Linked DNA regions of Alligator mississippiensis. The protein of the gene in region 1 binds, or shares a complex with, the protein of each later gene. Links are inferred from orthologs where the notes say so. Each region holds a gene or a part of one and is shown in the gene's direction. Other genes may lie near its edges. The genes, in order: ARPC2, ARPC5, ARPC3 and ARPC1B.

What was found.
Region 2: ARPC2 (region 1) and ARPC5 share a complex: the UniProt entries of both Homo sapiens proteins name them as parts of the arp2/3 complex. The link is inferred for Alligator mississippiensis from reciprocal best matches to the Homo sapiens genes ARPC2 and ARPC5.
Region 3: ARPC2 (region 1) and ARPC3 share a complex: the UniProt entries of both Homo sapiens proteins name them as parts of the arp2/3 complex. The link is inferred for Alligator mississippiensis from reciprocal best matches to the Homo sapiens genes ARPC2 and ARPC3.
Region 4: ARPC2 (region 1) and ARPC1B share a complex: the UniProt entries of both Homo sapiens proteins name them as parts of the arp2/3 complex. The link is inferred for Alligator mississippiensis from reciprocal best matches to the Homo sapiens genes ARPC2 and ARPC1B.

What each region holds. Positions count from the first base shown.
Region 1 is NC_081827.1:253,618,889-253,626,760, forward strand, and holds the start of ARPC2 (actin-related protein 2/3 complex subunit 2), read left to right. Parts: upstream 1-4,863; 5' UTR 4,864-4,991; coding exon 4,992-5,065; intron 5,066-7,872. UniProt on the Homo sapiens protein: Actin-binding component of the Arp2/3 complex, a multiprotein complex that mediates actin polymerization upon stimulation by nucleation-promoting factor (NPF).
Region 2 is NC_081828.1:54,673,330-54,680,976, reverse strand, and holds the start of ARPC5 (actin-related protein 2/3 complex subunit 5), read left to right. Parts: upstream 1-4,641; 5' UTR 4,642-4,785; coding exon 4,786-4,929; intron 4,930-5,496; coding exon 5,497-5,568; intron 5,569-6,606; coding exon 6,607-6,783; intron 6,784-7,365; coding exon 7,366-7,428; 3' UTR 7,429-7,647. UniProt on the Homo sapiens protein: Component of the Arp2/3 complex, a multiprotein complex that mediates actin polymerization upon stimulation by nucleation-promoting factor (NPF).
Region 3 is NC_081833.1:2,196,637-2,203,984, forward strand, and holds the start of ARPC3 (actin-related protein 2/3 complex subunit 3), read left to right. Parts: upstream 1-4,346; 5' UTR 4,347-4,436; coding exon 4,437-4,442; intron 4,443-4,562; coding exon 4,563-4,662; intron 4,663-7,086; coding exon 7,087-7,163; intron 7,164-7,348. Other genes in the region: GPN3 (GPN-loop GTPase 3), read left to right, coding at 326-388. UniProt on the Homo sapiens protein: Component of the Arp2/3 complex, a multiprotein complex that mediates actin polymerization upon stimulation by nucleation-promoting factor (NPF).
Region 4 is NC_081836.1:53,629,552-53,637,424, forward strand, and holds the start of ARPC1B (actin-related protein 2/3 complex subunit 1B), read left to right. Parts: upstream 1-4,868; 5' UTR 4,869-5,100; intron 5,101-7,873. UniProt on the Homo sapiens protein: Component of the Arp2/3 complex, a multiprotein complex that mediates actin polymerization upon stimulation by nucleation-promoting factor (NPF).

The sequences.
Region 1 (7,872 bases):
AGTGTTTTGGATGGGTTTAAGTCACATTTCTTGGTTTCACTGATGTTTGTGAAAGGGCCTGAACCAGGTTTCCTCTGGACTGGGAAGGTGCCAGTTAGCTGGGATTGATGTCCCGGGGCAAGATACACTGCTGGAAGGGAGGATTTCTTACCATCGTGGCCTTTCAGATACTGCCCATGTCCGAGGCCTGCAGGACGGGCACTGTCTGCATGTTCTCGCTAGTCATACGCACATTGTTGGGTGAGGTCCTGAGTCCCTTTAACGCTAGCTGCAGCCGTTGGAGATGGATGCTCAGGCCCATTATTATTCCTCACGGTTTGGTTCTGGTCTCTCGCCGTATGTGATGCATGGGGGGGCACATGCCCCCCAGCTTTCTGTGCCGATGGTGGGGCACAAGGTGCAGGGCTGCAACCTCACCGGTGCCAGCACCCAGCAGCAGTGTTGCGTCGTCTTGAGTTTCTTTCCAATCAGTGCCTCATACGTGTAGTTGGCTTGGTAAATCACTCGCTCCAGTTCAGCGGCTGTCTCTCGGATCTCAGATGTCAGCTCTCTTTTGGCATCTTTGAAGTTCTTGACTACACAGAAGACGGATCAGGTTTTCAGGGTTATCAGGACACACGTTAGCTCCTGCGAATCTTGCAACGTAGCCGGCATTACTCAGCCGCTTTCCACCTTTGAACATCTTCATGGTGTTGAGAGCGGTCCACCTTGCTGCTGACCCAATTTGCAGGATCATAAGCAGCAGATCATGATCAAAATTGCTTTCTGAATCCTGTTGTTCGTTAGAGAGCTGTTTTATGCACTTCTGGATTTGCTTCAGCACAGCCTGACCTTTGTCTGGATCCTGCTTCTCTCCCCCTTCTTGGCTTGACTCTCCAGTGATATGTCGGAGGCAGTCACTGCTGCACCCATCGCACTGCCTACTATATAGATGACAAGCTGTCTGCTGGAGAGCATCAGACATACAACAAAGGTCTCGGGGACAATGCAGCGCGCCACAATGTGGGTGATCCTGCCCGTGATGCCCGCTCTCCCTCCAGCAACATTTGCTATCGTGGCTTCTCTGTGAACCTCGTCCACAGCATCAGCTATTACCCCAAGTGCCACTACATGCTGCTGCAGCCTGTCCTGGGCCGGCAGCAACTTCTTCCTCAGCATTTTATCAGTGCTCCTCCTTAATAATTCATTAAAGGAGAAAAAAGAAAAGGGGGAAATTATTTCATAGGTCTAAAGTGTTAACGCTCCTGTCGCCTTCCATGGTGATCCCACTACGCGCCCACCCTTCTGCAGGCCCCTCTGATGCTGTGACCGTCACCTCAACCTTTTTTTGGCTCAGGTGCCCTGAGCTCCCTTCACCTGCCCCGGTCCAGCTTGCAGGGGTCCCTGGCACCCTCCACATGCCCATTGATGAGGCTGCTGCCTCCCAGGGAGCATTCAGCCTAGGCCCTGCCTATGCTGCTTGCACTTGCTGTTGCAAATCAGTGATACCAATGTTTGAACCGCGTCAGAAGAGATAGCGGTGGGGAGGGGGCGGCCGTGGGCTGGGGCTGCTGGCTGAAGTTTTAGCTGGGCACGTCCCCCGTTTGACCAGTGCCCAGGCATGGAAAGAAGCAGGCACGTCCTGCAATGGCGCTGGGCCCTGCAGGCACCAGGTCTCCCAGGGAAACCCCCGCTCAAGGGCGTCTGCTAGAGACAGACGTTACTCACCTCCGGTTGTTCAGACAAGCAAAGAGCTCGTCAGGCACGGCGCTCTTGCAGACGGAGCTCCTCGCCGTCTCCCCACAGCTGGAGCATCTCCCCTGCTTGCATCTGCTCGAGGTTTTGGCATCTGCTCCCCGCCCCTGCTCGAGGTTTTGGCATCAGTAGTCTCCCCAGTGCCGTAGGGTCAGCTCAAACTCATACTCAGCATTTAGCATCGCAGTCACTAGACAATGAAATTTTGACTTGTTTCAGTTTTTTGCCTTGTTTTTCACCATCACCCCCCTGCAGGCAACATAGGAGCTGACTGACTGGTAGGGGATGTCCCACGTGCCCAGGAGGCGAGAGGCCTCGTGGATTGAAGTCCCCGGCTGGGAATCTCCCTCAAGGTGACTCGGAGTCTCCCAGAATTGTGGCCCCAGATAAATGGATTTGTCTTCAGATTCTAGATAAAGCATAAAGCTCCTTACTGGAAGGATCTCCCATGAACTTGGCTTCCTCCAGCACGGAGATGAGGTCTCTCACCTGCTGCTCCGTCAGGACGGCGTACCGCTCCATCCACACCTTGGGCTCATTGATACCACAGCAAATCAGGCCCTGCGGCGTCTCCATCAGCACGCGGCCCTTCTTCGTCAAGGCATCTCTCGGGATCTCCAGCGCTCTGCCTTGCTGCTGCTGCAAGTCTCACCTTTTGCTTTGGTCGGGGGGGTGTAACTTTTGCCACCTCTTTTAGAAATGTGGCATTGCAATTGGGTTTTTTTCTCTATGGCTTCCTGGGGATTCATTCTTACACAGGTGTCACGCGCTCACACTTAAGTCTGGGCAGCTTTCCAGCGAGACCCCTGCAAAAACAGACATGTTTGACTTTCATTAGTGACTTCCTCACCGGAGCAGCCGGCACCCTCCAGCCAGGCGGCAGGATAGCGCAGCGCCTGGAGGGCTTGTCATGGGCTTCCCCCTCAGCTGGGAGGAGGGAGCCTTGGAGATGACGACAGGACGACGAAGATGGGGTCCTTGGGTTGTGCTGCCTCCTGCCAGCGCACCGACACCGAGCCCCGGAAACTGCACAGCGGCGCAGGCGGCACCAGCACGTGCCTGCTCCCTGCCCGCAGCCAGCAGCCAGAGAGGCTCTTGCAGGTGGTAGACGGATCCCGGGCACATGGATAGCACCTGTGCACACGGGTCCATCCCAGGCACATGGGTCCGTCCCATGCACACATGCAGATCCCAGGCACATGGATAGCACCTGTGCACACGGGTCGATCCCAGGCACATGGGTCAGTCCCATGCACACATGCAGATCCCGGGCATATGGATAGCACCTGTGCACACGGGTCGATCCCAGGCACACGGGTCAGTCCCATGCACACATGCAGATCCCGGGCACATGGATAGCACCTGTGCACACGGGTCGATCCCAGGCACACGGGTCAGTCCCATGCACACATGCAGATCCCGGGCATATGGATAGCACCTGTGCACACGGGTCGATCCCAGGCACACGGGTCAGTCCCATGCACACATGCAGATCCCGGGCATATGGATAGCACCTGTGCACACGGGTCGATCCCAGGCACACGGGTCAGTCCCATGCACACATGCAGATCCCGGGCACATGGATAGCACCTGTGCACACGGGTCCATCCCAGGCACATGGGTCCGTCCCATGCACACATGCAGATCCCAGGCACATGGATAGCACCTGTGCACACGGGTCGATCCCAGGCACACGGGTCAGTCCCATGCACACATGCAGATCCCGGGCATATGGATAGCACCTGTGCACACGGGTCGATCCCAGGCACACGGGTCAGTCCCATGCACACATGCAGATCCCGGGCATATGGATAGCACCTGTGCACACGGGTCGATCCCAGGCACACGGGTCAGTCCCATGCACACATGCAGATCCCGGGCACATGGATAGCACCTGTGCACACGGGTCCATCCCAGGCACATGGGTCCGTCCCATGCACACATGCAGATCCCAGGCACATGGATAGCACCTGTGCACACGGGTCCATCCCAGGCACATGGGTCAGTCCCATGCACACATGCAGATCCCAGGCACATGGATAGCACCTGTGCACACGGGTCCATCCCAGGCACATGGGTCAGTCCCATGCACACATGCAGATCCCGGGCATATGGATAGCACCTGTGCACACGGGTCGATCCCAGGCACACGGGTCAGTCCCATGCACACATGCAGATCCCGGGCACATGGATAGCACCTGTGCACACGGGTCGATCCCAGGCACACGGGTCAGTCCCATGCACACATGCAGATCCCGGGCATATGGATAGCACCTGTGCACACGGGTCGATCCCAGGCACACGGGTCAGTCCCATGCACACATGCAGATCCCGGGCACATGGATAGCACCTGTGCACACGGGTCGATCCCAGGCACACGGGTCAGTCCCATGCACACATGCAGATCCCGGGCATATGGATAGCACCTGTGCACACGGGTCGATCCCAGGCACACGGGTCAGTCCCATGCACACATGCAGATCCCGGGCACATGGATAGCACCTGTGCACACGGGTCGATCCCAGGCACACGGGTCAGTCCCATGCACACATGCAGATCCCGGGCACATGGATAGCACCTGTGCACACGGGTCCATCCCAGGCACATGGGTCCGTCCCATGCACACGTGCAGATCCCAGGCACATGGATAGAACCTGTGCACACGGGTCCATCCCATGCACACATGCAGATCCTGGGCACACGGATAGCACCTGTGCACACGTGTGGATCCCGGGCACACATGCGGATCCCGGGCACACATGGATCCCAGACACATGGATAGCACCTGCGCACCCATGCGGATCCCAGGTAACAGTACCAATCCCGGGCACACGTCAGGATCCCACAGCCGTGCACGGATCTCATGCACACCTACAGATGCCTTGCACGTGTGAGGATCTCTGGCACGCGTGCAAACCCCATGCCCGCGCACACGTGCATCCCACGCACACCCTTGCGGAACCCGTGCAGTTCCCTTGCACACGTGGATGCTCTGCAGGGCCAAGGAAGGCGTCTCTGGTGCGCATGCGCACAACCTCCCCGCGGCCCGCGCCCGCCCGCCCTTCTCCTGCCCACTTCCGCCTCCTCGCCGCCTCCCGGAAGTGACGAGTGGCGGGGGCGGGGGCGAGGAAGCGGAAGCGGAAGCGGCGCAGAGCTCGGGCGGCCCCGCAGCGCGTGCAGTGGGCTCCGGCGCCTGACAGACCCCTCCCGGCCGCCGTCCGACCCCCCCCCCCCACACCGGGCGCCGGACCGCCGCCATGATCCTGCTCGAGGTCAACAACCGCATCATCGAGGAGACGCTCGCGCTCAAGCTCGACGGCGCGGCCGCCGGGTGAGAGGGAGGGGCTGAGGTGGGGGAGGGGCTGCGCTGGGTGGGGGAGGGGCAGGAGTGAGGCGAGGGGAGGGGTTGAGGGTCGCACCACTAGTTGGGGGTTGGGGTCAGCGACCGGCTCCGCCCGAGGCTGGTCCGCGTCCGCACGGCGCCGGTCCGGTCCGTCCCGGTTGCGATCCCTCGGCCTCTTGTCTGCACGCAGACGTCTAGCTCCGAAACAGAAAACCCCGCGTCGGTTCTGCGCCGTCTTGGTGGAGCCGCCGCTGCCGCCGCCGCCGCCGCCTGGGGAGGAAGTTGTCACTTCTGCATTTCTTCTTTTTCTCTAGCTGATACCAAGACGCTCCTGTGTAGGCAGGCCCCGGGCGAAGGGTGTAGGGAGACGCCGGTCTCATGGTGTAGGCCTTGTGCAGCAAGGACAGGAGGTCTCTTGCCGTCCCTGAAACGCCAAACGTTGGAAACCAAGCAGCTGGTTCTGGGCAGGGGACCGCGGAGATAGCAGAGTGTCTTTCTTTCAGAGTTCGTCGTCGGTCGGGTCGATGCACATCGTCCGGTCCGACCCCCTGCCCTGGCAGGAAACAGCGCTGGGGTCAGACAGCCCCGGCGAGGTGTTCGTCCAGCCTCCTCTTGAAGCCCCCCAGGGCAGCAGCCAGCACCACTTCCCTTGGAAGCTGGTTCCAGATCCTGGCCGCCCTGACGGTGAAGTCGCGCCTCCTGATGTCTAGTCTGAATCTGCTCTCTGTCAACTTGTAGCCATTATTCCTTGTTACCCCCAGTAGTGCTCGGGGGAACAGGGACTCCCCCAATGCCTGCTGGTCCCCCCTGGCCAGTTTGTAAATGGCCACCAGATCCCCCTCAGCCTTCTCTTGTGGAGGCTGAACAGGTTCAGGTCCTGTCGCCTCTCCTCGTAGGGCCTGTCCTGCTGCCCCCTGATCATGCGGGTGGCCTCCTCTGGACCCTCTCCATGCTGCCCACATCCCTCCTGACGTGCGGTGCCCAGAACTGGACGCAGTACTCCAGCTGCGGCCTGACCAGTGTCGCGTAGAGGGGGAGGATCACCTCCTTGGACCTGCTCGAGATGCATCTGTGGATGCACGACAAGGTGCGGTTGGCCTTCCTGACCGTGTCCCCGCACTGTCGGTCCATGTTCATTTTGGCATCAATAATGAAGATCCTTTCCTGCCTCTGCACTGACGAGAGGGGAGTTCCCAGCCTCTAGGTCTGCTGCTGGTTCTTCCTCCCCAGGTGCAGCACCTTGCACTTGTCAGTGTTGAAACCCATCCTGTTCTCATCCACCCACCCCTGTAACCCGTCTAGGTCCGATTGCAGCCTATTCCTCCCTTCTAGCGTGTCCACATCCCCCCACATCTTAGTGTTGTCTGTGAATTTGAACAAGGTGCTTTTCACCCCCTCGTCCAAGTCTCTGATGAAGATGTTGAACAGCGCGGGCCCGAGGACCGAGCCCTGGGTGACCCCACTGCCCACAGCCCTCCAGGTCGAATGCGACCCATCAACCACCACGCTCTGGGTGTGGCCCTCCAGCCAATTTTTTATTCTGTTATTTCAGCTGTTTGATCAAGGCATTTCTAGGGGACAGTTGCAGGGTAGTCTGGATAGGGGCAAAATGAGGGGGCCGTGATGATCAAGGAAAAGAGCACAGGCATCCTGAATCCTCTCTCGCTATGCAGCAGACCGCATGTATTCCCTATTTGATGCATTAGCAGTGGACAGACGTGAATTTGCCATCAGCCTCTGCAACAGCTGGGTCTCGGGGTCGAAGTGCAGACTGGGAGGCGAGGATCTACATCCCAGATTCGTTGTCACCGACTCGCTTTGTGACGTTGGTGCATCATTTAACCCGTGTGTTGCCAGCCATAAACTGGAGAGGGTATCTGGGCTGTCAAGTGCTTGGGGAGCCCTAGGTGAAAGGCATCTTTGCCCTTTGTGATGCGGTGGTGGAGCAGACTGCCGAAATCCCACCCAGTGTGAGCTCGCTCTGTGTGCTGAGCATCCGCATGAGATGTCATGGAAAAGCTGGCAAGCAGAGTCGTTCGCCTGCGAGGTCTCCTATATGCCGCCTAGGTGCCATTATTACACTGGGAGTGTCTCTGGGAGCACCTCTGCGATCTTAGATGAGCAACGTCCTATCAGCAGAGATGGCCTGAAACATCTCCCCTAAAAGCGTCCTCTCTTCCCCCGGGGGAGTGAAGCCTTTGCTTATGACTGCCCTTCATCCATCTCTGGTCTGCTTCCACGTGTTGCCTGCAGGCCAGAGCTGAACTCCTCCTGTCTCTCGCTCAGGTCACGAGAGCTGGTGATTGAAAACAGCTCTTGATAGTCCACTCTGAGCATGCCCTGAGTCCCAGCCGTCCAGGAGAAGACATATTAGCCTGCTGATGGATGCACTATCAAGAGCCTTTTTAACTTAAGAGATGGAAATGAAGGACTCGTCATTTCATTGGCAACCCTAACGAATGTGCAGCCAGAGCTATCGTCAGCATTGGGTAGGAAGAAGACCAAAATCAATGGCTTTTTATTTAAAACCTATATTTAAAATAGGCTTTGACAGCCTGGGGTAAAAGGCCTCAATTCGACATAATTTAAGATCGTTTAAACTAAGGGGAAACCTCAAGCTGTGCTTTTCCTGCCAAAGCTTCAGAGGATCAAACTGCTGAACAGGAAGAAGATGCTGGCTAAGCAGCTGGGTTCAGACTCTGCAAAAGGGCTGTCAGTGTCTGCTAGCAGGTACCACATCCACAGCTACGGACAGACTCATTTTCATGTAAATTAATTTGACCAGAGCAGTTCAG
Region 2 (7,647 bases), on another chromosome or scaffold:
CAATAAATAACTTTTATAGTCAAACTGGTAGTAACTGGGTATATTTTTCCTTCTCTGCTTCTCCTTCCTCCCATGCTCTGCAGCAACGCTTCTTTTACCTAAGCTAAAGATCTCTGTGAAGCCCCAAAATACTGTGGGTTCTGCTCATCAAGAGGCTAAAGATTGGGACGTGCTAAGTTTGAAACACATAAGGGGATCAGCTTGCATAGACTGATTGACCCAGTTTGACTCAGACATGCCCTAATGAACTGAATGCTGGCCCATGAGGGTGTCAGCTGGACACCCAGCTGGATTTAGAGGGATTCTGTTTACCTGTGTGCTTGTGTCTGACTGCAGTTTATTGTTGCTCTGATGAACTGATTCTTGGCATATGAGGGTGTCACAGCCTGTCCATGCTGATCAACCCGGCCGGGTCAGGCATGTCACGTTAATCTGTGTGTGTTTGTGAGTATGACTGATTTGGTGACTGGAGGAACCCAGCCCCATTGAAACTGAGTCCTGCAAGATAGCTCCATTGGGGGTGAGGACTTGCAGAAGGGAGATATACAGCTCCATATAGAAACACAAGTAACACAAGCAGCACATTGACAGAATTGCCAAGACCCTAGAAACGTACCCTTAATAAATGAGCACGCCCCGAAGTAATGGGCAAATCTGGTAACACTCCATAACCTCTACCTCAACTTCTTCCAAAGTGCCTTCTGGAGAAGGAGACCTGGCTCTAGGGGAAACTTGAGGGGTGTGGAGCACAAACTCAGATGATTCCCCCTCCTTCCCCAGCATTTCCCTTGCTATGGCACTCAGATCCAGCTCCAGCTCCAGCTCTTCCTCTGGCACTGTAAGGCTCAGGCTGGAAATTAAAATTGGGTTGGAGGAGACTGCAATGCTGGTGCTGCTTGTTGCTGTCATGGTGGTGGTGCTCAGTGTTGCAAAGAAAATTGAATCTGTTCATGTGAAGTCGACCAAACTCCCAGAAGTCTTTTTGAGATGACTCAAAATTGGCAGTGACTGTGGCCTAAAGTTAACCCCAGTAAAATGCCAGGGAACATGGAACATTTAAAACAATGGAACAATAGAACCTTAAAATAAAATGATAACCTGGTAATTTTGGGGAGTAATTAATTTGGGGATGGGAAAAAAAACAGGAAAATATTCTCAAGGTGCAAGGATGTGCTATTGTATTCTTAGGATCTATGAGCCAAAATATTATATAACAAGCTTGGCTAGCATTAATAATGGTGACATCACTAAAGGGTTAAACAGCCTAAGCAGGTAAAGTTAGCGTTTGCTGTTCACTGTTCGTTGTATGGATTTCTGAGGGAGACACCTGCATGGATCTCTAAAGGAGAACCAAGCCTTCGGACTTGGAACAACAGCGTAACCCAGGAAGCTTTCCCAGAATGGCTGCATGAGGGAAGTAACTCTTCTGTAACAGCTCTAGACAGATTGTGAAGTAGTGAAGGGTCACGATAGCGCATGCAGTTTTTGGTAACTGTCTGCTTATATTCTGGCAATCCCAGTAAAATTGACTACTCGTATTCTGGCATCCCCAGTTGATGAATAGCTTTGTGCTTAGTAGATGTTTTGTAGTCAATAAAGTTTCTGACTGTTTATCGAACGAGTGCCGGTGGTTAATCACAGAGTTCTCCTAACCCACAGAGAAGTAGGGTTTAAATGAGCTACAGCCCAATACTCGGGGTTGTTGTTATTATGGCAGGTGTTATTGGAGGGGATGCAGACACTGCTCCCATCTCCTTGGTGCACTAGCAGCAGAAGCGGCATGGCTGCTAGTTGTTGGAAAGAGACTGCATCTAAGTTTGGGGGGGAGGGGAATTTAGAACTCTCCCTCTGCCCCCTTTTCATCTGAAACAGTGAAACAGTTTTGGCAAAACGAAACGGAACAGCGAAACAAAACATTGTCCCTTCGAAATGGCAAATCAAATCGAAACGAAACACTGCCATTTTGTACAACCCGTTATTTGATTTCCACAATGACAAATAAATGCCAAGTTAACACTTCCCCAGTCCCACTTTCCCACTCTTGGCCAGTTGAGAACCTTTCCCCATCTTAGCATTTGTCTGATACTGCATACTCTTCAGTTACTTTTTAGGAGTCCCTCACTCCCAGATGGGTGGAAATCCTTATAATCCCTGTCTACTTCAACACTCTTCATTCCACTAGCTGGCTTCTGCCATGACAATGGCTTATGGAGCTAGCTGGCCCCTTCCTATTTCTCAAAATGAAGCAAGAGAGAAGAAAAACACAGGGCAGATGGGAGGGGTGGCAAACGTGAAAAGAAATCTCCACCTTTGTATTTTAAGCCAGAGAAACACAGAACAGAACAAACTCTGGAAAGAAGTAGTCAAGATTCTTATTCCCAGGCTTCTGAATAACTGGGTGGTGCTTTCCCCAATTTACCTCCAGGAGCCCCATGTGGCAATGATATATGAGGGAGGAGCTGGCTTAGCTGGCTGTGGAACACTAGAAGTCACCATTACTTGCATCAGAGATGAAGATCTCTTCAAAAAAGGGGGCAGCCTGCACTCCTAGACATGTTTAGACAAAGGCCTTGCATTTTACAGGCAAACTTGGACTGAAAAGAGCCCTTAAAAAGCATATTTATAGGGTAACCACCAGAAACTGTTCACTAATCAGAATGCTACACTGTCTGAGGGGTACTGCCACACCAGAAATTAGGCAAACATTCCCTTGTAGCTTTCATTAGTCATAACACCCCAAAGCAAAAATGATTGCAAATAAACAAAAATTTGACTTCCTTCTCTAAGCTGGGAGATGTGCAAAGAGTAAACACAATAAATGTATAAATTACATGAATTAGAAAAAATGCTCTAATTGTCATGAATCTCTTCTGCAAATAGATGTGGATTTTTGTTCTTTAAACTCAATAGCATCTCTTTAATCATATTGTAAATCACCATGAAGAAAATGTTGAAGACAGCTCACTTTCTGGCTGGAAAGTTTTGGAATATTTAAAGTCAGGGACAGAGCTCTGATAAGGGTTGGAGAAACGGAGCATGATTTCCCTGACACTCTCTGCAAATGAAGCACCGAGCTTCCTTGAACGTTGTATGTTCCTGCACAAATTCTTGGCTGGGCAATGAATGTACTGCAGGCTTCCCACCACTGGGTGGGTGGGGCTTGGCCCAGTGGCAGGGCATGGGCGACACTGGGCCACTCCCAGGGCAGGTGCTGGGCAGATCAGCTCATCCAGGGATGCGTGTGGGTGCTCCCATCACTAAAGCCCCCCCAGCACAGCCCTGGATGGGCCGACTGGCACAGCACTGCATGCATCCCACGGGCAGGGGACAAGGCGGGGGAAGAGAGGGGCACATTAGATGGCAGGGGCAGTGATATGCCTGTGCCCTGCCCCACCTGCTAGTACCTCTCGCTCTGGATCCGCAGCCCCTGCTGGTGCCCGCCCTGCACTTCAGACCACAGCCCCCTCCCACCCCAGCCCTGCTGGTGCCCCACACTCCCAACGCGCAGCCACCTCTGCCCTGCACATGATGAGTACCCCTGAAACTTTTATAGGTTTTTTTTATACTTTGGGAACAGCTGTATGTTTTGAAAAAGTATTTTATCTAACCAAGGGCATAGAGTAGGTTGTTTAGGCTGGGGGAGATCGCTTGTTGCCTAGTTGCTTAATTGCTGGCCTTGCTAGAGGGAAAGCCATATCAGCAAGGTCCCTGAGGGGTTGGAAAGGGGGGTTACTGGCTGAGCTTGCTGAATAACAGGTGCCACATCAGCAAATTACACTGTCACGAAGGCAAGTTCAAACTGACTAGGGAAGGGTCTGTAGCTAGGGTGAAGTGCGCATGGACTAAAAGGGGCAACCTATAGTAACTGCATAGCGTGTAAGGCTAGAAGAGGCTATATAAGGCTAATGCCCACTCGGGTGGGTGTGCTTGCTTTGCGAACGATTGCCAAGCACCACTTTCTGCGCAGAAATAAAGATTAAGTTGGATCCTTCACCCCTGTGTGTTTATTGGCACAAGTGCACCGGGCACGAACTCACTGTCCTTTGGGGACAACACACAGACTGGGGGGGGGGCACATGCCCCTGGGCCTCTGCTGGGGTGTGTGCAGCAGCAGGAGCCCCCACCACGCGCCATGATGAGTATCCCGGCTGCATCCCTCACATCACTCAGCCAGGCCAGGGCCCCCCTCACCCCTGCCCCACTCCCTCCCTCCATCAGCTCCCCACCCCTCCCCCATGAAGTGGCCTGCTGGGTGGGGGTATGGCAGGCAGATCCTGGGTTGCCCCTTTACTTCAAAAAGTGATCTTCACCCTAAAAAGGGTGTAGACCACTCACGTAGCGATGTAAAAGCGGCTGCTGAGACGCCCGCTAACCGGCGCCCCCCAGGTCTTCCCCACAGGGGACTCGGCTGACGACCTCCCGCTTTGCCAGAGCTCCCTCCTGCGCGCCCCGCACGGCGGCCAGAGCTCAGGGGGCGGGACGAGGCTAGACCCCACCCCATGGTTTCGCCTCAGGCGCGGGAGGGGCGGGGCGGGGCCGGGCCTGGCACCGCCCAACCGCCAACGGCCCTCGAACCCCGACGGTTCCGGGACAAGGCCTTCTCTTTGCGCACGCGCACCGAAGGAGCTGGAGGCAGAGGAGGGCGCATCGCTACAGCGCGTGCGCGGAAGTGCGAGGCGGAAGCGGCGGCAGGAAGTGGCGGCGCGGGACGCCGGCACCGCCCTGCAGGAACGGAGCGAGCGGCGCAGCCGCGACAGGGCTCGGGGCAGGGGCCAGGGCAGGGCGATGGCGAAGAACACGGTGTCGTCGGCGCGGTTCCGCCGCGTGGACGTGGACGAGTACGACGAGAACAAGTTCGTGGACGAGGAGGACGGCGGCGACGGCCAGGCCGGGCCGGACGAGGGCGAGGTGGACTCGTGCCTGCGACAATATCCTTCGGCGCCCGGCAAGGAGCCGCGGGCCTGGCGGGGGCAGGGAGGGGGCGCGCTTCGCGGGGGCGGGGTCGTGCGCGGTCCTCGCCTTTTATGGGGAAAACGGCTGCAAGGGGCGGGGCCGCGGCCCTCGGCTCCTCCCCCGTCTCCATGGCGATGGAGGTGGCGTGGCCCTGCCGGAAGTGGGGGTTTAGCCACAGAGCCGCCTCTGCCTCCCCTCCCCCCCTCCCTATGGCCCTGAGGGGAGCTGGTGCCAGTGTAGGGCGCAGAGGAACACACCAGCCTTGGTGCTCGCTGCCCTTTGGGCAGACGGCCCTACCGAGGCTCCTAGAAATTTCCAGATGCCCAAGTCTTGAGTGTAGCAGCAATGGGCCAGCCCCTCAGCTCCCAGAAGCTGTGTCCGCTGGCTGCCTCACCGGAAGCCCCCATAACCTCCCCTGCGCTTGATGCCGCCTCAGAGATCCTCCAGCGGAGGGTTGTGCGGGGAGCAGGTTATTCATGCCTTGGGGTCAACTGCTGCTTTCCAGGTGCTTGTTTCCCCTCTTTGCCTTAACCTGTGTTCACAGGGAACATGATGGCTGCACTGCAGGCTGCGCTGAAAAACCCGCCCATCAACACCAAGAGCCAGGCAGTGAAGGTGAAGCAGGAAACAGCCATTCACCCTCATGCTTGCTTGTGAATCCTCACCCTAATGCTCTAATACCTCCCCCACCGTCCATCTCCCTCCCTCCCTCCTCTCTCTCTGTGCATGTACAGCTTATTTACATGCTGCCCTCTTAGCTAAGCTATTTTCTGCAAGCCTAATCTTACCAAAGAGTAGTACAAATTGATCGGCCGCTGCATATAGTCAACAACTCTCCCTTCCAGTGTAGACTGCAAATGTCAGCACTCCCACATTGGACAGTGCTTTGAATATATCATATGCTCCTACTGTTTGGCTGCCAAAAGGCTCCCCAAAGCAAATTGAGTGGATAGTGATCCCTTGCAGATACCTAATGCAAAGGCGACAGATGTGCGGTAGGTATAGAAATCATTCAGATTATACCACTGCCCACTGCTCTGTTTAAAGTAGACGTCTACTCCTCTGTCATTTTAAATTGGAGTTCATTGGCTGTACCAGATTCCCCAATCAATTGAAAAGGAATTTTTTCCCCTCACAGTCAGCCATGTGAATTTATGAAAGACTTGAGAATACAGACATTACCACAAAGATGACCTCACAGGCAGTTTTGTAGCCTCAGCAAACAGAAGCAGAACTTGAAGAACAGACAGAAAACCCAGAAGAAGACAAACCTGTTGCTGTCTTCACTTGGTTTGTTTTGAGACTGGATCCATAATAACATTTTTGGCTTTCTTATAATCAACTGATAAGACCAAGTTTAAGTAACTTGAGTACTCTTAAAGCTAAATTTGTATTACTTATCTTTAGGTTCATTTAGAATTGTAGATATGTGGCAAAGCCAGCTGAGCTAATGTTCTTCTGTTGTATGTATCTGTTATATAGTATGATTCGCAGCTTTGTGTTTCAGCTGTCTTAAATGCGTTTTTCAGTAGTTGAAAATGGAATGTTGTACCTCCTGGTTTGAAGAGATCTTTAACATTTGGGCACATGCCATATGAGTATGGATGGGTTTGGCTCCCAGTAGTGACCTTTTTTTCCTTCACTTCTTTACAGGATCGGGCAGAAAGCATTGTCTTGAAGGTGCTCATCTCTTTCAAAGCCAACGATATTGAGAAGGCAGTACAGTCTCTAGACAAGAATGGAGTCGACCTGCTAATGAAATACATCTACAAGGGCTTTGAAAGCCCCTCTGACAACAGCAGTGCAGTGTTGTTGCAGTGGCATGAAAAGGTATGTTTATAGGAGAAGAGTCCTGGTGGTCTGGTAATTCACATTAGTGGACACCCTTGTATCTAGGACTTGGTCTTTTTGTTGAGGCCAATAACAACCACTGTTTCTTCCTCCTGAAATACTACTGTCTGTATGACATCAGGAAAGACAAGGTTCTACTTGGAAAAGTGTGAATCATACACAAACGTACTACATATCTTTGAATATAGCCTTTAGAGCTGATGTTTGATGGCATTCAATGAGACTATGAAGGTGATGAAGTAGTCAACCGTAAAGATTAAAGCAGAAGGTTTAAATGGGAATGGAATGCAGAAGTTTTGACGCCCCTCCTCCACCACTGGCTCTTAAAGAAATAAGAGCTTGCAAAAGCAAGCTCTCTTTTATCAGTGCAACTTCCCCATCTGTAAAATAAATGTAGTAATACTTCTATATTTCACAGTGCTGCTAGTTTAGTGTTCCTAAAAGCACTTGAAGATGCTGAGAGGAAATGCGCTGTGAAAGTTCCAAATACTTTTAGCAGTTAATTGTTCCAGTTTGAGTTTACCTTGGCTCTTATTTAGTGTTATTTCTCTATTTTTTCAGGCTCTTGCTGCTGGAGGTGTAGGGTCCATTGTCCGTGTCTTGACTGCCAGAAAAACGGTTTAAGTCCAGCAACAAGTGGCTGTCTGCTATTGGTGTGGGAAATGCTGGTACAAAGACCAAAAGAACCAAATGTTGTCGCTGCCCTGTGGGTAGCATCTGTCTCTCTCAGCTTGCCTTCTTGCTGCTGCTTTCATATCTGACAAAATACGCATATCTCATTTCCTTTTGTTAACCTTTGGATAGTATAGAGGTGCAATTTAATTTCTAATGGGAATATTTGGT
Region 3 (7,348 bases), on another chromosome or scaffold:
AAGCCATATCTAGTTGCATTGTTATTCAGAACAAATACTTCCTACCACCTTATTCCGCTCAAAAGAAAAACCCATTTGCTCCGCACTCTTTGAATACATAGAATCCCTGAATTTAGATTTGGATCCATGGTAACTAGCACCAAGGTGTTTCTAGGCTGACTGTTGAAACCAAATTGCTTTTCAGTGCTCCTTATAATGTGGGGGTGTGGAACTGTGTTAGTGCATTCATTCCTACTGCAGGAAAAATGTCATGGAACAGAGGATTTACTGCAGCGACAGAAGGAAATGGAACTGAATGTTAACTTCTTTATTTCCTTTCTGGCAGGATTGTGAAGAAGTTAAATCTTCTCTTGTTGATGAATATTTTCAAGATCAAGTGGACGAGTAGAGAGAGTGCATTTGAAAAGAGGAGTTGAATCGCCTGGTTGTAAAATATAAGTTAAAAATATATCTCAGAATATATTTGTAAGACTATTTTTTAAATATATAAATATGTGGTGGAAAACTTTTGTAAATCTGCTGGAAATTAATCCTTTATCTTCCACATCATTACATCAATAAGTAGTTTTCATTTTTGCATGTACATATTTTGGCATAAATAACATTCTTACAGAATCTTGAATTGTTTGAAAAGTATAGTGGTTGTAAAGGAGCACTGTCAAAATAAAAAAACATAGACTTTTTTTAATAGCTTCTATCAAGCCAACTAATTACTTGTACCAAGGGATGAAAAAATATAATTGGTTTAACCATTTCTGCCTTTGGTTCAATGCTTGTATTTCGCTACATTTAGACAACTTAGAATGGAGTTGTCTCTCTCAGTCTTCAGCTTGTCGTAAATCAGTTGAGTGCTCTTGGGTTGCAGTTTAGGGAAGCATTTAATTCCCCAATAACATTTTTTTAATAAACATCATGAAAATATTGAAGCTAATAGGAGTCTGGTGATCAGTCTATCTTGCATGAATAGATGTAACTGTTGAAGTCAACATTGCTGTCCCTGGTTATACCAGGTGCCGGTTGGTCCATGGAATATTATTAATTCATCACCAGTTTTATTCTTTTAAACAATCTACATTTTAGATTTAGGCAACTTGACAGTGTTCCTCTATCTTCCAGATGTTCTGAAATTCCCTAGTTAATGGTAAGTTCTCTGCAAGAGAAATCTGGCTTAAAAAGTTGACTTGATATTTTAAATTTATGGAGCCGTTCCGAAAGTTGCAAGCAGTATTTCCTGCAGGAGACCGTAGCGTTCTGTAAAATATGTAGATGTGCAAAAAGATTTTTTTGGGATGTCCTAAATTTCATTCCTTGAATAATGATACTGTTGTGTACAATATATAGTTTGTACAGGAAAAATAGTGATAGCTGTTTCTCCTTTTAACTACCTGTTTTGTAAGACTACGGCTGTTCATGTTCAGATTTCAATTTTCTGCACATTTTAACACAGCTATAAGTCTTATCTGGTATGTTTTTAGGGATACTATTACGTTATTTAGGCTTCACACTTTTTACCTGGGGTGTAACATTAGAGCTTCAGATCACATCACTGATTGCTGGATCACAGTCAGGTTTCCCCCTGCTTTCAAACCCTTTGTCCAGCTGGGCCCCGTGCACTGTGTAGAGCCCAGCAGGTGAGAGACAGGGATGCTTGTTTGGAAAGACTTGCATAACTCATTTGTGGCTCTCCCACTTGTGAGTAATTCAGTCACCTCAGATTCATGTCGATCATCTTTTTTTGGGTGGGGACCAACCTTTGTGATACATCTGCCAAAAAGTGAGCTCTGCATCCTCCCTGGATGCCGCCCCAATCCCTTTCCCTTGTCTGACCTGTTGCTCTACTTTCTGCTCCCTGCCCCATCTGCCACTGTGTTCCCTGCTTCCTCCCTGATCTGTTGCGTGCCACAGACAGTGGCTCCCATGCCATTTGTGGTACATGCTGCAGGTTGGGCACCCCTGCTTTATATCATCTCGATGCATTGCACTTCACTAAGGGAGGTTGTAGGAAGAAGGCTAGAATTGCATGTTTGAATCTGTATATAATATGAGGCGCTAGATAAAATCAGCTCTGCCAGTGTCAGGTGCATTAGGGAGAGGAAGGAAAGAACTGGATAGGACAGTGGGTGTTCATAATGGCAGTTGTGCTGTGAAGCTTGGTGGACCAGGTTTTCACCCTTATTTTCAGACTTCGGGGGCATATCTTAACAGGGGATGAGGAATAGAGTAGCAGTTGGTGTTTGTTTAAAATCCATACAGGGGACCTTTATAAGTCACTTTTAAATTGCTTAATCCAGCCAGTGACCTATTCTATGTATATAGTGGTCCTTCTAACATGTTCCCTCATGCATTAAGGATCAGACTAATCCTTAGAGGACTATGGATCTCAATGCATATGCTACTTGAATAGGAGCTGCTGAATTTAGCTGTATGTAATGCTAACACTTTTGGGCAGCCTTTCCCTCACCCTCCAATAAGGTAATGCTTAAAGTAACTTTCCACTAACAGTTGAAATGATAGAGGGAAGAATCGGCATAAAACAATTTATTTGCCAAAAGGTAAACTGCGTTGTTCAAATAATTTAATCATCCCAGCTGCAGACGGTGTGCTTTGTAGACCGGAAGTCAGTAGCCAATAAGGTAAACTATAGCATATCATTCTCCCTATAAAAATTCTTAAGTTGTTGGTGTTTGTATTAACCTTGTGTAACAGATCCTCCAGAGCCTTTGCACAGAAATAAGATCTCAGGGCCTTATCCTAAAAAGATGTAAGTATGCAGCAGACTTTATCCCTGTGGCCTAGACTCAGTGACTGCTCAGGTTAAAAGTGACTTAAGAGTTTCATAGTGTGTAGAAATGGGCCGTGCATCTTTCCTGTATGCAGGTTCTGTATGCCCCGGCCACTGCGCCCATCAAGCCTCTCCAGCTTCTGTAGGATCATTCTTGGGTCGCCTCTTCCATACTGGTGACTACTGCACAATGTCGTGATGGATGGTGTTTCCACAAGCATGGAATATTAACATTAATGATTAAGTACATAGGAGCTGCAAACAACAGGTCAGACCATAGGTCTGTCTTGCCCAGTCTCCTGTGCTGCACGGGGGCAGAGAGTGGGTGCTGGAAGAGAGACTGAACTGGGTCTGAGCCAGGTTTTTTCCTCTGTTCCTCTCTTGCAATCTCCAGCACTGAAGACCCAGAAAGGTCTGCTTAGAGGCCATGCCCCTCACTGCCGTGCGCAACAGTGCCAGTGCCCCTTCCTTTGAAGCACGTGTCCAGTTCCTTCTTGAATTCAGCTAGACTATCACTTTCCACATCTGGTGGCCATGAGCGTACGCTTCAATTCCACGCTGTGTAAAAAAGAACATGTGTGTTTGTTTTAAACCGACTTCCACCTTGTTTCATGTTGTGACCCCCATGTCTTGTCAGGTGATGGAGTCTGAGAAATCCCTATTCACTTCCTCTTCTCCATGTGGTAGTTTGTAAACCCTTCTCCTGGCCCCCCTCAAGCCTCTTTCCTAAGTGGAGCAGGCCTGGCCTCAAAGGCAGCCCCTCCATTTCTGCTCATTATCCTTGTTGTCCTTCTCTAGTTCTTCCTAGGGTTGCCAACCCTGCAGGATTGCCCTGGAGTCTCCAGGAATTAGATACAAATCTCCAGGAGACAAACTGCTGAGAGTCAGCCAGGAGAGAAATGATAAGGCATTCATTCAAATAAACAGTAAATGTTGAATTTGAATTATACAGCAGTCCAATGGGTTTTTTAAAAATGTAATATAAATGTGCATTTGCCTTTCCAATATGAAGTCTATGCACTGTAAATGCAAGGACACGGGCATGTCCATGTTGGTGTGCTGATAACTTCCCAGGATGGATTCGGACACCGTTGCAACCCTTAGTTTCCTTTCTGGCAGGAACGTGAAGAAGTTAAATCTCCGCTCGTCGATGAATATTTTCTTCCCCCTCCTGTTGGAGGTGCGGGCACCAGAGCCGGGGCTGCCTTCAGGGCGGCAGCATGATGCTGTCTAGAAACACAAACTAAACCACGGTTTCTGCGTGGACACATCCCAGGCGCAGCACCCACGCCAGGCCAGAGCGCGCTCCTTCCCTTCCCGCCAGGCCAACAGCCCCTCTGCTTCCAGGTCTCACCCAGACTTTTTTTTTGAATGTAATTATTATTGAACTATATTCCTAGATGTGGAAGATGAGGGCTCTCTCTACATCAGGCTCGTCTCTCTGGCTGTGGAGAGCCGAGGACCCTGCTTGTCTTCTTTCTGTTCGACTGCCCCAAGCCTTCGCTGGTCTCCCCCACGCGCCGGCTCCCGCGCTCCTGGGCTGGCTCCGCCCACGGGGCGGGGCTTGCATCCGCCCTCGCCCTTCCGGGGCGGGGCCGGAAACGGCCGCCCTCCAGGCGCGGCACTTCCTGCTTCCGAGCGCCGCGTCCCCGCCATGCCGGTAAGTGCGGGGAGGGGGCCGCGGGTGCTCCCACCCCCGGCGGGCTGGGGCTGGGGCTGGGGCTCGGGCTCGGGCTCTCCTGCCGCCGCCGCCACACCCGGCTTCTGCCTCTCTCCGCAGGCCTACCACTCCACGCTGATGGACCCGGACACCAAGCTGGTGGGCAACATGGCCCTGCTGCCCATCCGCAGCCAGTTCAAGGGACCGGCGCCCCGGGAAAGTAGGTGTCGGGCCTGCTCGGGTTGGCAGCGCAGGCTTTCGGGGAGCAGCCGGGCTTGCGCCCCCCAAGAGGCGGCTAGAAGCCGGCCGTCCTCTCCCCCCGGTGCTGCTGGACCCTCGCTGCGCTGCGGCGGGGTCGGCGGCGGCCCCTTGCTTTCTCTCGCTCTGCGTCGGTTTAAGGCGAGCCTCTTGTGGGAGGTGGGGCTGGCTGAGGGCTCTGGAAAAGCTCGGCGGCCTGGGGAACCGCCGCCGGGCAAAGCCTTTCCAGGCTGGTTGCGACCCAGGAGAGATCACGGAGACTTGCGTCATTTATGGGTGCTGCGCTTGGTAGCCTCCTTCAAGGCGCCTCGTAAGCCAGCAAGAAACCTCATCGATGCCAGGAGCTGCCGAGGGAGCAGACCGCTGCTTTGCAAACTGAGATGAGCTTTGAATGCCTGGGTTTGGCGCACGCTGTGTGCGGACAACAGGAGCAGAACTGTGCCGATGACCCCCCTACACGTGAACGTGGGCCAGTGTGTTGGTGGTGATCCAGTCTGTCCTTTTCCAACCAGCGAGCTAGCTCATCTGACTTCTCTTTTTAGCTCCCGTTCACGTCTAGCTGTCAGCTCGAGCGTTGTCTCCCCGTACCGTCCCCTTGCTTTAACTCTTCTGCAAACCCCCCCTCCCCCCCGCAGTCGTGGGTTGTTCCTTTCCCCGTGAATGGCTGCTTCCTTTCCCTCTGTCTTTGTTCAGGCCCACTTCTTGCCTCTAGGAATTACAGGTCAAAATCTGGCTGCAGCCTGGCTTCTGTCAGGCTGTCTGTGTGTCTGGTGATGGCAGGGCTCTGCTGCTGTAACTAGATCTGTGTGGGCAGATCCATGTGAAATCCCGTCTGTGTTAACGGGTCTGGATAGGCACACGGTTCTGCCTCCACAGATCAGTTGGTGGATTGGGGCCTTCCAGCTCCCTGGGACAGGGGCCACAACTGCGTATTTTTTATACCATGAGTAGCATCAGGGCGTGAGGGGGAGAATGTCGCTTGCTTATTCCAGTGGGGTCTAGGGATCAGCTGAGATGAGCCCCATTTTTGCCAGGCGGTGCTTAAATGCAGAATTCACAGTCCCAGGGAGCTTGCAGTAGATGTAGACGGCAAGGAACAAGGTGTGCTGCACAGGCAGCATGAATAATGTGGTAGAAACAAACTTTGTGGTCGCCCTGACTGAGTGGGGCCTCTCGGTCTAGATTAATAGTGAACGCAGTGACTTCCTCATCTGTCTTTTAAATGCTCAAACCATTTTGGTTTGTCTTCTCTCTTCATGCCTTCAAAGACCCAAAGCTTACGGTCTCCAAGGAGATCCAGCTCTCGGTTCTCTAATTGCTTTGCTTTTTAAAATGTATTTTAAGCTTCTCATTCATTTCAAGCTAGGTTTGCTGTGTCGTGCAGGAGGACAAGTTTTGCTGTGGCCTCTCGGGTGTGGTTTTCACTAGGTAGCTGATGAGTGGCATGTGTCGTGTTAGAGAAATGCATCTTAGATTAAGAGGGTGAAAAATTAGCATAGTCTTCAGCTAAAAAAGCAGCAACGCTGAAGAGTGCCTCTGCTGCTCTGTACAGTGAGAAATGGGGGAGGCAGGCCCTGTAGTTGTAACTTCCTTCAAAGTAGAACTGAGAACCCGGAAGTGGTGGTGTCTAGATAAAATTGTTCAAAAACCACAGGGAAGGCTTTATTTAGTGCTTGTTTTAATGCTGTTTCATTATCTTGTGTCTCTGTTTTCCACAACTGCTCCACAGCATTATACCATTTCAATGCTGAAAGGGACCAACCTCTAGATCTAGGTGGTTTGTGTCAACTGGTGAAACCCAAAGCCTGCTGGATCTAATGTTATGAGCTTGCTTGTTATCTCTCTCTCTCTCTCTTTTTTTTTTTTTTAAATGAGGAAGGTGAAGGATTATGTTTCTCCTGATTAATTTTAAATTAGTCTTTTTCTTCCCCTCCTCCCTTAGACCTGATCTCAGAGGGCATTATAATGATAGCTATAACCAACATCCTCTTGTAATGATAGTAGACTTGTTGTTATTTCTCACTAACGACTGAAAGACCCATTGGGAATTACCGAGCAATCACGGCAAAAATGGACAAAACAAAGCTGCTTGCTTTACTTGGGCAAGTACAAAGCTTGAACTCATTGCTGTTCAAGTGGTGAGTGGCTGTAGCCTGTGCTCCTTCGTGCAAATAAAGGCACGTTAGTCATATGGGGCATGACCACAGCACTACCGCTGCTATCAAATCTTTGCTGAGAACTGGGATAAGTTATCTGTAGCATCATATTTCGTAAGGATTTTATTTTTCTACAGACTAGTGAAAAGAAACAGTGGAATTTTTACTGTGCATCTCGGCCAGTCCTGTACACCTGCATCTTGGTTAACTTTCCCTCTCTTTCTTGTTAGCAAAGGACACAGATATTATTGATGAAGCAATCTACTACTTCAAAGCAAATGTCTTCTTCAAAAATTATGAAATTAAGGTAAGAAATGTACCTTTAAGGTATTGTGCACATTTGTGGAGGCTGGGACTTGACTTAAACATAGAACTGTTTCACTGCAGCACTTGTGACCCCCTTGAGAGTTTATATCTTTTTGTGTATGGTAAAAATGCAAAGAAACAATTGTTTTCCTTTCTAAAAGAAGTTGGGTGAGGAAACTCCTCAGG
Region 4 (7,873 bases), on another chromosome or scaffold:
GCTGGTCACCCTGGGTAGACAAGGTTCTTTGGGTGAATCTGATATCTTTTATTAGACCAACTTAAATAGTTGGAAAACAATTATTAAGCAAGCTTTTGGGTTCGATAACCCTTCATCAGGCTAAGGAAGTTTCAGCAGTTAGGTTGTAGGAAGAGCACACGCCACACCCCTGGTCACCTTGGGTCACATTTTCAAAAGTGTTCTGGTGATTTAGAAGCTTAAGTGTCTGTGGAGCAAAATGAGATTTAATTTCCCAAGCCCATTGGATGCTGCTGGAAGTGTTATCCCTCATTTCCTAAAAGCTGTAGCAGACACCAGGGTTCAGAAATAGATGGCACAGATGAAAGGGTGTGAAGAGATTCTCTGAAGGCACAGTGGAAAGCTAGAAAGCAGTGCCCCTGTTGAACAAGCTCCACTTATAAAGGAACAAGCAATCTTATCAGCTTATTGTCCTACACCCCACCCTGGCTGTAAGACTATACTGCTGCAGCGGGTTTATTGTCAGCTGGTTATGTGTGCATCCTGCTCGGTTGTCTGCGTGACTTCCTGAGCTGGAACTGGATCCACAAGGAGCATAAACAGACACAGAGAAATTGCAGCATTTCAAGCTGTTACTTGGTGAATACCTTCCTGAAACTGGGGAATAGAAAGCTCTGCCAGTTGGCTGTGGAACGTCAGGTGAGTTGAGTGATGTGTGTGACCTGCCGTGAGCCCCTTTCACTTGGATCTCCGTGAGATTCCTTGCAGTAGGGATTAATACGGCCACGCAGAATGTAATTTCAAATCCAATTTGCTTTCCACTACACAAGTCAGTTATACAGTTGGGCCAAGTATCAGGAGCAGACAGCCTTCATCTTGCTTCCTGCAAGAGTCCAGAGCTGTCAGAACGGGCAGCCTGATCTTGACTTCATGCTCCTAATTTGCTCACCCCACATCCTGTGATACTTCCTTCAGTAAATCAATCTCCCCTTGCTTGCGTTATGCACGGGCATGAGTGCCAGGCAGGCTACGATAAGGCCTGAAGCAAAACGGCTGAGCCACTTTCAACAAGTGGCTCTTTTCCCTGCACGTGTAACTCATTTGTTGCAGCTATAATGGAAAGTGCTTTGGGTTCGTTATGATTTTGCCTGTAGCAACTCTGTGAAAGAGCTCTTGGTCTCTGAAGGAGCTGTAGTGCTGGCTGGGCCTTGTGCATTCAGCTGATCAAATTACAGGGCTTTGAACTACAGCGTGTTGAAAACGGAGGATGGAGCCAAGTGGGTATGACAACTTAAAATTGAGCCCATGATTTTAGATTCTGATCATTTTCATTGTGCTCTTGCTTTCTAAGTGGGCTTCCAGCTTAGGTGGATCTTCTTTTCCTGTCCTCATCCTTCATAGGCTCCTGTCCATCACCCTCTCTTCTGAAACTTTTCATATATTGCTTTCTCCTGGCCTGAACCTTTTCCTGCCTGCTCTTCAGGCATCCTGGCTACATGCCCAAACATCTCATTATGTTGGGAGCTTTTGTTGGGCCTGGGCAGTCTGTTCTATTTTCTTATCTAGAACAAAGAAGTCTTGGGCCTCAAGCACAACTACAGTAGAAGCAAGAGTAAAGGTATCTCAAGGTGCAACCAGATGATGGATGTCATAGCTCAGGCTTGATCATCTGTTTGGGGCTGAACAGGCTGCAGGGGTCTGAGCCTTCCTCTGAGCATTGTATTAAGCTCTGTAGAAGTCCCCATTGAAGTTTAGGCATTTAGAGCCACCAAATTGGCCCTGCCTGATTGTAACCACCGCTAGGCACGTGAAGAGGGAAGGAATCGGGGTGGTGTTGAGGATTGCCGATGCTGCCTCTGGAAGCAAACAGCACAGTGCACGTGTGATACTTGTAGCTTGTCCTGTATAATTGAGGTGCGAGCCCTACTATGGGAACAACATTCACGCTCCATTTTACTGGGGTTAGGCTGGGCTGAGGGAGCGGAGCCAGACCAGCCTAAGTAGTTTGGCCAAGGTGCACGCAGTGATTCAATGGCAGAACTGGGACTAGACCCCAGGAGCCCTGGTACCTATCCCTTCTGCTAGCAACCCCCACTTACTCTCCTGCAAGTTAGACAGCGCCACGGTACCCTGGAGAAACACTAGGTTGTTCCAGGAACCGTGCATATGCGGCAGTGCCTGTTTTCTGTCCTTGTGAGTTGCAAAAGAGCTGAAGAAGCATAGCAGGAACCCAGTCATGATCAGAAGCAATGAGGAAGTGCAATAGCAGATAGGGAACTGTGCAGGGTGATATTCTTAGCTCTGCTACTTTGAGAGAGGGGTTCCTTGCTGCAGAAATGAAGCTGACCTGTCATTTGTTCTCAGCCATGACCGTGCAGCACCGAAACATGCTGAAATGTTACAGGCAGATGGGTTTTCTTAAACACGGGCATATAGGGGAGAGCCTTCTTGTCTGGTGCTGGAATAAACCTGCTTTCTTTCTCAGGTCCCCCGTGACTGGTGATTAGCTGCACTATTCCTGTAGCCCGAGATGCTCTGGTTGCAAGGAAAGGGACTCAGCTTACGGATAGCCGTGTTCAGGGCAGGGCTCCCCAGACAACAGCTCAAAGCAGCACAGCTGAGGTACAGCAGCTTCTAGCTACCAGCAGGACAGCGTGAGGTTTGAGGACATGAAACATCAGGTGAACTACAGCTCTCGGTCTTGAAGTATCTGTTGGCCTGGGTGGTCGTGCATTACGAATCAAATCAGGTGGTGAGGAGTGGGGCAGCTGCCAGCACGTCTAGGAAAGTTTTGTACTCTCCCAGCCCATGTAGCCAGGTCAGTTATGTGCATCTGAAACAGGGAGGCCTGCTGCCAGGCTAGTCTTGGAGCCATCCCATTGTGGGGGCTGCTGTGGTGGTGTCCCCCCAGCTTAGGCTGCTGCAGTGCTCCGAGCCTCTTGCAGGCACTGTGCTATTGGGTTCAGCTGGGATTCTGCTGGAGGGGGCGAAGATGAATGAAATGGGGAAGCAGTCAGGACACTGGTAGGACATCCATACCATCATTTCAGCATGTTCATCCCCCCTCTGGCAGTGCCCCTGGCAATTAATACTTGGCAGTGCTTTTCAGCCTGTGATCCATGGACCCTTGGGGGTCTGCGAGCCCCGTCAAAGGGGTCCATTAAGATGACTGATCAATCAAAAGTATGTAAATACCTACACTTACAATTCAAAGGGGTCCGCACCTCTATTTGAAATTTTTTAGGGTTCTGCAAATGAAAAAAGGTTGAAAACCAACCAGTGCTATACAGCATTACACAGGTTGGCTGTGGACACTTTGGTGGTGACTGCTTTGGTAATGCATGTTGTAGGAGTGAGCAGAAAATCCTGTCAGTGTATTATTTTGTGCCTTTGATCACACTCTGGTGGCTTTTCACTTGCTAGACAATTTAAGAAGGAAAGAAGAGACAATTTAAGGAGGAAGGGAGGTGGGGTCAGAGGAATCCCCTCCTGTATTATGATGAAAGCTATTTTAAATCCATTATATGCTAATGAAGGGGGGCTTGGAAGGAACTGTAGGCCTCAACCATCCTTAAAAGAGCAGACTGCCCGAGTACACTGCTCTTTCAGCTGGTTGGCTTCAAAATGCGCAAATTGAGAGCATCCCTTTAAAAAGTTAGAGCCAACGTCTGCTAATCTTGCTCCAGATGTGGAGCACAACTGCAAGCTGTTTCCTCCAGAGACCCGAGTTCGGGATTCCAGGGTTCCTGGGCTGGCACTGCCAGGGGTTGGAGCATCGGAGGAAGCTGTTTCCTATGCTGCTTTCACTCCTTGTAATGACTGTTGCAGAGGGGTGTAGAGCTCTGGTCGGGGCAAGTGGCTGCTGGAGGTGGTGGGGTGGGGGTGTGTGCATGACTTTTAGTGACTTTGCATGCCAATTATAGCCTAAAAGCAGCAGGGGAGGAGGTCGGGGTTGCTTTTGTCCTGTGGCTACTTTACACCACAGCATCAGAAGAGACCAAAAGATACTTCTTGAGAATTGTTTCTCCACAACTTCCCCTTCCCCTCCACCCCCCTGCCACCAGCCTGGGGCTGCTGCAGAGCAGGCCAAGCCTGTACTGACCCTACACGCTGACTCTTCTGGTGTCCCAAGGGCTGGAGAGGTCATGGCTGCTGGATGCCAAGGTGGGATAGCCCTCACGGCTGCCTTAAGCAGTGCTGGGGCTGCGCTGTCCCGAAAAAGCTGAGAGGAACACAAGCCACTTGTCTTGTGTCCCTGGCTCAGGCCCCAGGCTGAGGGTTAATTCCTCCATGACTCTAGACCTTACATAATGTAGCTGTGTTTTACCAGTGTCCCAGCTCCCCTTCCAGGCTGGGAGAGCACGAGGAGGGTGATGCCCCTGTGGAGAAGCCTGATTTTGATCTCACTCACACCAGTCTTACACCAGCATAACACCCCTGACTTTGCTGGAGCTGCTGGTGGCAGTGAGGGGGAGTCAGGCCCCGCTCTGCTGGGGCCTTTAACCCATGTCCCTTGGCAAAGCCGGGAACCCAGTAGTTCTGGATGCTCATGTCCACTTACCTCCCTCTTGCTCCCTGCCAGCTCATGAGCACTGCAGAGAGAAGAGGACAAATCCTTTCTTTGTCATCCGTCTGCCGTTCTCTGCCCCAGCCCTTCGGTCTTCCAGTCTCCGTCTGAATCCAGGTCCCCCTCCGATCCAGCAGGTTTTGGCCAGATGTGGACCCTGAGTTACAGGGGCATCTCCCAAGCTGTAGCAAGGGAAGCCTTTCCTTTTCCAGGTTCTAGCATTTCCACGTGTCGGCCGCCAAGCCTCGCAGACGGGCCTGGAAAGCAGGGCCAGGGCTCGCGCGCACAGACCCAGCCTTTCAGAGGCGGTTGCTGCTGCTGCTGGAGGCAGCCTGTGCTGCTCGCTGCCGTTCCCCAACGCCCACGCAAGGAAGTGGTTAGATTTCTCAGAGAGGAAAAGGGAAGTGGGACGACTTCAGACAGCGAGCTCAACTTCTGCCTTTCATTCGGAGCTGGCTCAGCTGCCGTTCGTGTCGACTGCCCAGAGTCCGCGAACCAGCTGGCCCCTGGAGACAGGACCCCTTCCCCCCCACCTTCCTCCTCTCCCTGTGAAGGTGAGTTGTCAGGGTTTGATTTTTTTTTTTTTTCTTTTCCAAGGGAGTAGGAAGCCGGTGCCTCTAGCGGAGCTGCTGGCAGCACATTCGACCCCTGGGGTGGTGCCCCCAGAAGAAGAACAAAATCTTTGTTCCGTGTATTTGCTTAATACAGGAGCAGTGCTGGGCTGGGAACAAACTTCCTGCCTGATACTGGCTTGTCCCCTTCTGCTTTGCAGCCATTGCTCCTCAGGGCTGATTTTCCCCCTGCACCCCCCGGTTCTCACAGGCTGTGTTAGTTTTGTGGGAGGCCTGAAAGCTCAGCTGATGTGGAAGGGTCCCGAGCTGAGCTTCCCCGGAGACGAGTGCAAACGGCGTGAGGCATGACACACCCCGTCTCCTGGCTCCCGCTCCCAGGTTTTTATCTGGGCCCCCTCCCTGCGCCCTCAGCCCGCTTGCTGCCTGGGGCCGGCATCACGTTGTCGAACTCGCAGAGTTACTTCTGCTTTAGGCCCTGCTGTAGGTGAGAGGAGAACCGGAGCCCCGACTGGCTTTTTTCTTCCCCTCTTTGGCTTTCCCTTTTGATCCTGGCACTGCCTTTTGATGCAGGAAGGTCTCTGCCCCCAAGCTCAGGGTGCTCCGGCTTTGTCCAAAAGGACTGGACCGATTCCTCTTTGAATGCTAGGCGTGTTAGGGGGTCACGAGCCATCTGGGATGCAGGTGCAGGGTATGAGCTCTGACCTGTATGCTCCCTTAGCAGCTGACGCAGGTGGGCTGGTGGGCAACATGCTGATCTGCTGGGCAGTGGGCTTTGTGAGTCTGGGTTTGCTGCTGAGCACAAGCACAGCAGGATTTGCTTTGGGAAGTACAAGCCATCAGCCAGGCAGAAAGCTCTTCTTTGTGGCAGGTTTCCTCAGGATGAGCTGTGCTGGAGCAGGCAGCCCCAGAGCCGGGAGCCCGGGGAGGGGGAATGACTTTGGTCAGTCATTTGGGGTAAGGAAGAGGAAGCTTGAGACTCCTGAGCCATTTTCACCCAACCAAGTGTCTTCCCCTGCCCCCCGTCCTGGCTCCTCACCCTGCTGATGTATTATGGGGGCACTTAAGTCATGGGCACCTTCTTGCTAAGGGACTAAGTGAACTCTAATCCTAGGCAAACATGATTGTCTCCAATCTCCCCTGTCACTTAAGTGTCACTCCTTAATGGGAGTTTGGACCTGAGTCCCTTTTTGGGATGTGGGCCTTAAAGTTTTCTATGTATTCCCCCCACCTCAGAAAAGGACTGATCACCTCCTTAGGTGATCCCTGGGGTATAATATCTTTATGGCAGTGTCCAGGCCAGACGTGCTGTGAATGTAGGGGAGCGCTATGGGGAGCAGCTCTGCCTTCTCCAGCCCGGGCAGCAGGAGTCCGGCAGAGACCTGCAGTGCGGTGTCCCAACCCTGGACTGGGACAGGAGCCTCTGGGATGGATTTGAGGTCTGATTCTCAGCCTTGGGTTTTCTGTCCCACGACTGAAGCAGTCTGTCAGAGGAAGCAGGCTTACCCCCGCCTTTAGGTACTTAGCAGCAACTGCCCCTGCCAATTTAAAGGGCAGTGTTGATAAGGACTGGAGAGATCGTGGCTTCTACCTACTCCAACATAGCCTCTATCCATCCCCCTGTTATAGCTGCCCACAGGTGAATGAGCTATTGAGTGGGGGGCAGGACAGACCTCACTGCTCAGCATGGGGGCAGGGAAGGTAAAATAGTATCTGACGCTCCTATGTGCTGACCACGACTTCCTGCAGAGCCAGGACACCCGCTCCAGGGGAGGTGGCAGTGCAGGGGTGCAGATCCAGCACTTGCACTGTGACGGACTCCAGCCCCGCACACAGCAAACGCATGGAGGCTCCTTCCATTGAGCAACTTCCTCAGCCTAGATCAGGCGTTGCCAGCTGCTCTGCTCCAGCCGGTGCTATTCTCTCTCCCAGGATGTTTTTTAATCAGTGAGGGCCTCAAGCCTGACCAGAAAAGGAGTTCCAGAGGAAGATATCTGAGCCATATCAGCTCTGGAGATCCACTCCTCTTGGCATTCCCCAGCACGCAAAGGTTGTAAACTTCCGTGGCTTTCTGCTGGAGAGAGCCAAGATCTGCTGGTTCGAGGGCTGTAATGAAGCAGCTTCAGCAGTGAATGGGACCAGCTAGTTCAATGGTAGTTCAGAGGTAAAGGTGCCCACCCACGGGGAAATCATTGCGTAGGCCCATTATTTTCTGCTGCTTTGTTGTATGCAGAGGTGGCTGGAAAGCTCAGTTTTGGTTATATGGTCCCTACTTCTTTCTCATGTTACATGCAGCTTGAGATCTTGTGTGCTCAAAGGAGGACGGGGAGAGCCAGGGGGGCTGTAAAATGCACTGCCAATGCAAGGGAAACATAAATGAAGGCAGGATGAGATTATTTAAGTTGTGTAAACCTTATTGTTGTGCAGCTTATTAACAGCGATTTAATAGTTGTTCTCTAACAACAGCTGGAATGAAACATGTGGGGGCACATGTGCTCTCGCACTCTCCCTCAAACTATTCAGTGCCCAGCCCTTCAATTCACGGCTCAAAAGCAAACGGTCCAGTACGTTCTTTCACAAACAATGGAAGAAAACACTTGGTATTTCCAGGCTAAAAATAATAAAACAACCTCTTCCCCATGCTGCTTTTTTTTTTTTTTTTTAAACTTCTCAAATCATCTTGAAGCATCAAAAAGAAAGGAGGAGGCAAAAATCTCCCCTTTTTCTCCCTTTGCAACTCACTTAAAAATAATTGAAA